Linked DNA regions of Mus musculus. The protein of the gene in region 2 binds, or shares a complex with, the protein of the main gene of each other region. Links are inferred from orthologs where the notes say so. Each region holds a gene or a part of one and is shown on either strand. Other genes may lie near its edges. The genes, in order: Mcfd2 and Lman1.

Region 1 (3,810 bases), on a different chromosome or scaffold from region 2:
ATGCTAATCTAAGCCCAGAGGGGCAGAACTTTGCATTGAACCAGCAATTAACTACGGTATCCATGGTATGATGTAAGTTAGTCTTCAGGGAGCTTGCCTGGCTGAATTGTCTTGTTGATCTTAATTCCAAGTTCATTAAGATGTAACATGAGTTTTTCTGTAGCTTTTCTTTGTGATGGTTAAAGTTATGAGACCCTCTCAGGACCCTGGCAGGTGCACAAGGTGGGGACGGTGGCCTCCTCTCCAGGTCACTGCTTTGAGGTTGATAGGACCAGCTTGGTTGCTTCCCTCGGCTCCCGTGGTCTTTCTCGAAGCCCTGCCTCTCTCCATCGCTCTCCATCACACCGTCAGTGAGTCCACCTGAAGCCACGCCAGCCTAGTCATGACTTGACAGTTGCTCCCACTTGTTCTCAGGAAGTGTCAGCCTCTTGGCTCCACATGTGCCCGCTGCCTTAGCACTTGCTCGCCTTCAGCTGCCATTGTCCCCCAGCTCCAGTGTCTGCCCAGGACTGGCTGAAGCATTACTGGCTCTGTCAGCCGTCACCCAAGGAGATTTCTTCGGAACTCCCAAAGGTTCTTTTCTGTTTTGAAAACCCCTCACTCTGCTTTTGTTGTACTCAACTAGGAAGCGTTTCTCTCTCTGGGCTGCTATACAGAAATAGTCTCTGGATCCTTGCATGCTCTTGGGTGACTGCTCAGCCCTCGGACATTAACAGATCTGTGGATCTGTACTGCCCAGTTCGGTGATGGGAAGCAGGTGAGCTGGGGCAGAATTGGCTTGCTCTCCTCTCCTCTCCTCTCCTCTCCTCTCCTCTCCTCTCCTCTCCTCTCCTCTCCTCTCCTCTCCTCTCCTCTCCTCTCCTCTCCTCTCCTCTCCTCTCCTCTCCTCTCCTCTCCTCTCCTCTCCTCTCCTCTCCCCTCCCCTCCCCTCCCCTCCCCTCCCCTCCCCTCCCCTCCCCTCCCCTCCCCTCCCCTCCCCTCCCCTCCCCTCCCCTCCCCTCTTCTCTCCCCTCTTCTCTCCCCTCTTCTCTCCCCTCTCCCCTCTCCCCTCTCCCTTTCCGCTTTTCTCCCCTCTTCCCTTTTCTCCCCTCTCCCCTCTCCCCTGTGTTTGGAGACAGGGTTTCTCTGTGTAGCCCTGGCTATCCTGGTACTAGCTCTGTAGACTAGGCTGGCCTCGAGCTAGGAGATGTGCCTGCCTTTGCCTCTACTTTCCAACTGCTGGGATTAAAGGTGTGCACCGGCACCCTAGGCTGACCTTTTCTGTGGTACTGGGAGTGGCACCCAGCTCCTGGCACACGCACGCTGAGCAGGTGCCCTCCTCTGCCCGTTCTCAGTGCTCTTGTCTGCAGCCTCACGCCTCCCAGGATTCCAGAAGCTCTGGTACTGTGCCTCACCGTCTGTGTTTCTTACCTTCCAGGTACCCACCCGGAAGCATGGCAACCCTACAGCTGCTCAGAGCTCCCTTGCTGTGTGTCCTGCTTTGGGTCTTTTGTGCTCCAGGTGCCAGAGCCCATGACCACGGGGCTGATGTCCATCATGGCAGCGTGGGCCTGGATAAGAGCACAGTGCACGACCAAGAGTATGTATTCAGTGGGGCAGCGCTCTGCGTCCCTGCCATCTGCAGCCATAGCTCATAGGCTGCCCCCGCCTCCTCCCGTCCTGTCACTTTATAGGGCCCCTGAACAGTTTTCAGTGCTCAACATTATCCCTTGGGACTCCTGGTAGTAAGATACCTGTCTTCAGCATCTCACGGTTGGGGGCTCTTGAAGCCTAAACACACCGAATTATTTGTCAGAATTCAGACTTCCTCCTTCCCCCTTCCCTGTCCAGCACATGCAGTAACAGAATCCAGAATGTACTCATGGTTTCCTGATTACGACAAGGCGTTTTCAGTGACACATTCCAACACTGAGTCTTCCTTGGCCAGTAAACTTCACGTTTAGCTTCGTTATCTGTTTTTTGCTTGTTTGTGTATTTGAGACAAGGTCTCAGTAGATACCCTGGTTAGTCTGGAGCTTGCTATTAAATTGGTAGTTCAAAAAATATTGTAACCAAGGTCTAACAGTAAAAAGAAGGTGCCAGGTGGCCGCTGTGCTGTGGCCCTGCACCTTTGGTGGCCCTGGCTGTGTGCTATGTTCTTGACCGTGGACTGTTTCAAAGCCCTTCTAAGGTGTTGACAAGTCTGACTGTTGGTTTTCAGGCACATCATGGAACATCTGGAAGGTGTCATCGACCAGCCAGAGGCGGAGATGTCCCCACAGGAACTGCAGCTCCATTACTTCAAAATGCATGATTACGACGGCAACAGTTTGCTTGACGGCCTAGAGCTCTCCATAGCCATCACTCACGTGCACAAGGAGGTAGGTCAAGGAGGAGGCAGGGTTGGGCATCTGAGTAGACAGTGCCCACGCTGGTGACCTGTGCTGTGTTCCTGCCTCAGCAGAGCATTATCCGGTTTCTGTATCCCACCCTCACCCCAGAGAGGCTAAGCCTGGTTGGCCCAAGCTAAAATGTTGACATTTTCACTACAGCTGGAGTTTGAGGGTCCGGCCAAAAAACCACAGTGTAGGGCACAGGAAAGCGGTCATTTCATCTGAGAAGAAGGGTGACACCGGGACCAAGGGGCAGAGCTTTGGAAGTAGGTGGGGGTTGTGTCATACTGTGAGGTACTTCCTGCTGTCCCAAGGCATGGTCATGTCAGGCTCCCTGCCTGCCTGCATCAATAGGGGAGACACTTACTCTGCTTGATGGAGGCGGGGAGGGGGTGAGAGATGAGAGGCAGTAGGGAGCCCAGCAAGCTTTCACTGCAGTGGATTCTGTGTGGAGGTGACACTACTGTCAGAGGAGTCAGGATCCAGCAGTCCTGGCACGGGAGTGGCAGTGTGGCCATGACATTGGTGTGGGAGATGGACCAAGGTGGTCTCCACGAGAATGGCCAGAGCTTTGTCGCAGGCACAGCCCTCTGTCAGCAGCCTCTAGAACAGGGCGCTGCTTTCTCTTCAGCAGTGTTTTGCAGTGTTTTCTTCCTCTTGTTTTGACCTTGAGGTGTTCATTGTCACTGTTCCCATTTTCTTAGGCAAATTGTGCAGTAGGCTGACCCTGTGGAGGAATCAGGCAGTGAGCTCTTGCCTTAGGATGGGTGTAGAAGTCACAGACTCTGACAAGCGGTTCTTTGTAATCCAGACCCAGCTGTCTGCAGTGTCTGTACATTACCTTGTTACTATATCAACAGTGATAAAAAGCCAGGACCTGTTTTTATCCCATCTTTCTGTAGCTGGCATATGTAGTTTCTCACTTGGAGTTTTATAAATTGACCCTGCCTGGCCTGAGTCTGGATTCCTAGAAGTGGCACATTCTCCCTCGAGGGCTCCTAGATAAGTGACCCTTGTAGGCGTTTGCTAATGCCCTCCGTAATTCTGCCCCTCACCGTCTTGTGTACCTCTCGGTAGGAGGGGAGTGAGCAGGCGCCAGTCATGAGCGAGGATGAGCTCGTCAGCATCATAGATGGTGTCCTGAGGGACGATGACAAGAACAACGACGGCTACATCGACTACGCTGAGTTTGCAAAGTCACTGCAGTAGACCGTTGGCTCTTTCCTTTGTGCACATGTGACCCTTGCTAATGTGATGGATGTGTCTGGTAATGCGAAACAACTTATTTCCGTCTACTGCTCAGCACTTTGGTAAGAGCCTGTGGCAGTCTGTAAGAGTGGGGTGAGGAAGAAGCCACATGACTGTGGAGAGAAGTGGGACAGGCCTCAGTCCCTAGAGGTGTGTTTAAGCTTGTTGGGCAAGAGCTGGATGCGGATCT
Region 2 (3,810 bases):
AGGACTGGCTCCTGCCGGCCTTTCCACCCCACTTCAGAAATGCCCTCTATCTTCACACTATAGCCAACAACTTGCTTTCACCAACGTTCAGCTTCTTCAAGGCCCTGTCTGCTTTCTGCGGCTGGAGCATGCACGCTTTTCCTCTCCTGCTTTGAGATGCACCTCAATTAAGAACCCCTTCCAGACCTCCCCCAGGGTCATTTCTAGGGTCCAGGTTCCAGCTGACAATTCCTTCCTGCTGTGCCTTGTCACTTGGTATGGTGATGCTATGTGCTCCCTCTATGGTGTACAAGCTATTCAGGAACAGCGGCCCGTGTCTTATCCATGTTTGTATCCTGAAGGCTTGGATGCGCACTTAGCTATCTTCAGGCTGGGTGCTTAAGCTTCCTCTAACCAATCAGAAACGCACTGGCCAAGTAGCACACAGATGACCACATATGCCAGCTACTCTTACTTCTGCTCGCTTAGAGAAGCGGTTCTCAACCTGTGGGTCGTGACCCCCTGGGGCGGTGTGTGTCAAATGACCCTTTAACAGGGTCACATGCCAGATATCCTGCATATCAGGTATTCACACTAAGATCCATAACAGTAGCAAAATTACAGTTATGAAGTAGCAATGAAATAATTTTATGTGTTGGGGTCACCACAACATGAAGAACTGTATTAAAGGGTTGAAACATTAGGAAGGTTCAGAACTACTGCCTTAGGGCAATGCATACAAATGTGTGGAAATCCACATTTAATTACATTATCTTCTGTCAAGAATTAAAAAAAAAAAAAAAAAAGCAGTATTAGATCCCCGAGTATTTGATTACTGTCACTTACTGTCAGTGTCTTCTGGTAATACGTAATCTTTGCCCGGACAGGATAGGGTTTATTACGAAAGTCCCTCTGACAACTCGCTAAAGCTTGAGTGGCACCATCACTGTAGATTCAAAAACACCAAGTTACAACGAGGCTTATGACAGTCCTTGTCAGTTAGAAGACAAAGGCTTTCCTGTCAGAACTCTGGCAACACTGGAAAGGAAGGCCAACATCACACACGCTGAAGGGAGGGGTAACATGCTATAGGATATGCTACGTATGGGACCAGGATGGCATCCACATCATTCCGGGGGGCTTTACAGTTTTTATATTTTGTGCTGTTAGGAACTGAACGTACTGTCGTATACATGCTCGGCAAGTATTCAAACTGTAAATGCTATCATTTTACTCAGCTACATTCTCAGCCCCTTGAGGAGGGTTTAAAGATACAAGTCTATATAAACTCCTTCCAAGCCAGCTGAAGCAGACTCTGAAGGGCTGACCTAGGCATTTCTATTTTAAACCACTCCATGGGGTTTATACAGAACCGGCAGCATTGTAGTCTCCACGGTAGGAAGAGCAGAGCCAGGCGCGGAGAAGCAAGGAGCTTACACTTACCACCTAGAGACTCTGCAACTCACTGACTGCCTTAAAGTGACACTGACATTGAAAAATGGTGGCTCAGACTGGCTACTCGTTAATTTGGTGAAAGCTAAATTTATTTTTGAAAGATACCTTTCAATTAACCTGGAAAGTGTGGCTCACAGAAAGAACTTCAAAACAAGAAGAGAACGCATGCCTTTTTGCCTACTGACAATACAGCAGCTAGTGGAAGGGAACACGCTGATTTCGTTTGAAGAGTGTTGAGATTTGAAGCAATGTATTTCTCAAGGATTGCAAAAACAAGCTGAAAACAAAACCAATGCAGAAATCACTTACTTTTGATGGTCATAATTGATTTGTCCATTGTTGCCTATAACTACTATAGCAGGATTATTTTTCTAGAAATAAAGAAAATAGACTTATTTTAGTATCTTTCATTGAAAACGTCATCATTCTTTATTTTCTATGAGATCTCATAATGTTAAAATTCTAGGGCTCTTAAATTTTTAAAATAATACGGCCTAGGCTTTCAAGGAGTTGTTAAAAGTTTTTAACGTGCTAAGTAAGAGTAAGCTCTGGAAATCAATAAACAACCAAGTGAAGGGAAGACCATCAAGCTTGAAGCTTCCAAGCCACGAGTTAGTATTTTCAGCACGTAAATATGTTTGTTTTTAACTGCTTTTAAGACATCATCAGGAAAACTGCCCTGAGCAGAAAGTAGTTAACATAGGAACGGATCCAAGTCCGAGAGCTAGCTGCCGCCAAGCCTGTGAGTGCTGCCATGGCTTCCTGAACACCACTGGTTTTCTTGCCCACATCTAAAGACTCACGCTGACTCTTCATAGTTACCAAACATATGCAGGGTGTGAATCACTGGCATGTTCTGAAGAGCTAGGTCTCCACCATGGCTGTAAATCAGTGTGCAGAGTCATGCCTACAAAGCTTCTAGTAGTTAAGTCTCTGCCACCAAGACTAATTACCATGCTCAGACTACCAGCCAAGTTCTTTACTATTAAATTGAAGGTGTCAAGAAAGCCACCTTCTTACAGCCTAACTGTACTAGAAAAACATTAACATGGAAAATGGCTAACAGTTTTAGCAATAAGTATACCTTTCCATCATTGTCAAAAGAATCAAAAAATATTCCAACACCATTCCACGTATCAGCTGATCCAAACACAGGGCCGTCCAAGCCTTGATTTTCTGTATACCAAATTGCCTGAGAAAACGTAAGAGGGACAACAGTTAGGAGCCAGTGGTGCCTGGCAGCTATGCTCGTTTGAGTGACAGAAATGATCATACTAAGCCATCGGCTCCAATTCGACCTCTTCCGGTCACTCGGAATGTCACTTCCACTTCCCAGTTCTCGAAGGCTGCTTTTGCTTTGGTCCACACGGAACCTCTTTGGCTTTTTAATGACGGCGCTATTCGAATCTGATCTGCACTTGGAATAGCATCTGTGGTAGGAATCAGAAAAGAAAAGCTTTAAGCTGGAAGTACGCAGAACTCAACAGATTACCTTTGAATGGCTACACACAGCTACTGAGACAGATTTTACATTCATTGTGTCAGAAATAACTTCATGCTGACAGCTATGACTCTGAAATTTTATCTTTTGAAAAGAGAAATACATCTGGAAGCCTACACCCACAAATTAAATGTCAAGGACAGAGGTTAAGACAAAACTTTTTCTTCTGTATTGTGGTTTCTGATTTTGTGTTCTCATGGGTTTTGTTTCTGTGTGCTATTTTTTTCTGTGTTTTTAGAAAACTTATTTGTTTGTTTTGCCTGTTTGTTTTCTGAAGGGACAGAAGTTTGTTTGGTAAAGAGAGAAAAAGCATAGAGTTGGATGGATGAGGAGGTGGGAGGACCTGGAAGGAGACTGAGAGGGGAAGTGATATTCAGAATATATTGTATGCATCTTCGATAAAAAAAAGGCAAACTTCATTTGATTTTCATAATCTCTTTTTAATAAAATTACCCCTCAATATTAAAAGTCCCATAGTAAGAGTCTGTAGTGCATCGTACCAGTTACAAATGTTAGAAGCAGCATTCTGACAAGAACCCGTCACTAGGGGTCAAGTTCAGCTGCTCCTGGTTCTGCTGTGGCTTTGAGCAATTCATGTCCTTACTCCACGGGTTCACCAAACGTTCATGTGTGAAATGAAAGGGCCAGGCCTGATGACTTCTTTAAACACTCCAAAATCACGTGCAAAATGTCCTGCACATCAACATTTTTCCAGAATAAGGCCAACCACGCTTTAATTTCATAAGCAGTTCTTTAACTACTGTGGACTTTCAGAGAAAACAAGTGAAACTCAAGAGTAGCTGGCTCGAGTCCCAGTTGAGCCACGTATGACTGTTGGACCTTAGTCACTGAGTGTCACTCTTTGTATAGGCATA

Evidence for each region.
Region 1: the proteins of Lman1 (region 2) and Mcfd2 are in contact, whole or in part, in a cryo-EM structure (PDB 8JP5), measured with the Homo sapiens proteins. The link is inferred for Mus musculus from reciprocal best matches to the Homo sapiens genes LMAN1 and MCFD2. Residues at the interface, in NP_005561.1 of Homo sapiens: His43, Arg44, Arg45, Phe46, Tyr48, Lys49, Ser51, Phe52, Lys53, Pro55, His56, Gln59, Ser60, Asp61, Val64, Pro65, Phe66, Trp67, Lys96, Phe265, Glu273, Lys279, Glu280, Ile281, Glu285, Lys286, Tyr289, Glu292, Phe293, Phe296; in NP_001164977.1 of Homo sapiens: Val59, Ile60, Asn61, Lys62, Gln70, Glu71, Leu74, His75, Phe77, Lys78, Tyr82, Asp83, Asn86, Asp89, Gly90, Leu91, Glu92, Thr95, Thr98, His99, Val100, Leu111, Glu114, Leu117, Ile118, Ile121, Asp122, Leu125, Asp129, Lys130.

What each region holds. Positions count from the first base shown.
Region 1 is NC_000083.6:87,255,697-87,259,506, reverse strand, and holds part of Mcfd2 (multiple coagulation factor deficiency protein 2 homolog precursor), read left to right. Parts: intron 1-625; exon of another isoform or gene 626-746; coding exon of another isoform or gene 747-757; intron 758-1,417; coding exon of another isoform or gene 1,418-1,433; coding exon 1,434-1,579; intron 1,580-2,200; coding exon 2,201-2,360; intron 2,361-3,449; coding exon 3,450-3,581; 3' UTR 3,582-3,810. UniProt on the Homo sapiens protein: The MCFD2-LMAN1 complex forms a specific cargo receptor for the ER-to-Golgi transport of selected proteins. Plays a role in the secretion of coagulation factors.
Region 2 is NC_000084.6:65,995,857-65,999,666, forward strand, and holds part of Lman1 (protein ERGIC-53 precursor), read right to left. Parts: intron 2,865-3,810; coding exon 2,710-2,864; intron 2,627-2,709; coding exon 2,519-2,626; intron 1,806-2,518; coding exon 1,744-1,805; intron 926-1,743; coding exon 826-925; intron 1-825. UniProt on the Homo sapiens protein: Mannose-specific lectin. May recognize sugar residues of glycoproteins, glycolipids, or glycosylphosphatidyl inositol anchors and may be involved in the sorting or recycling of proteins, lipids, or both.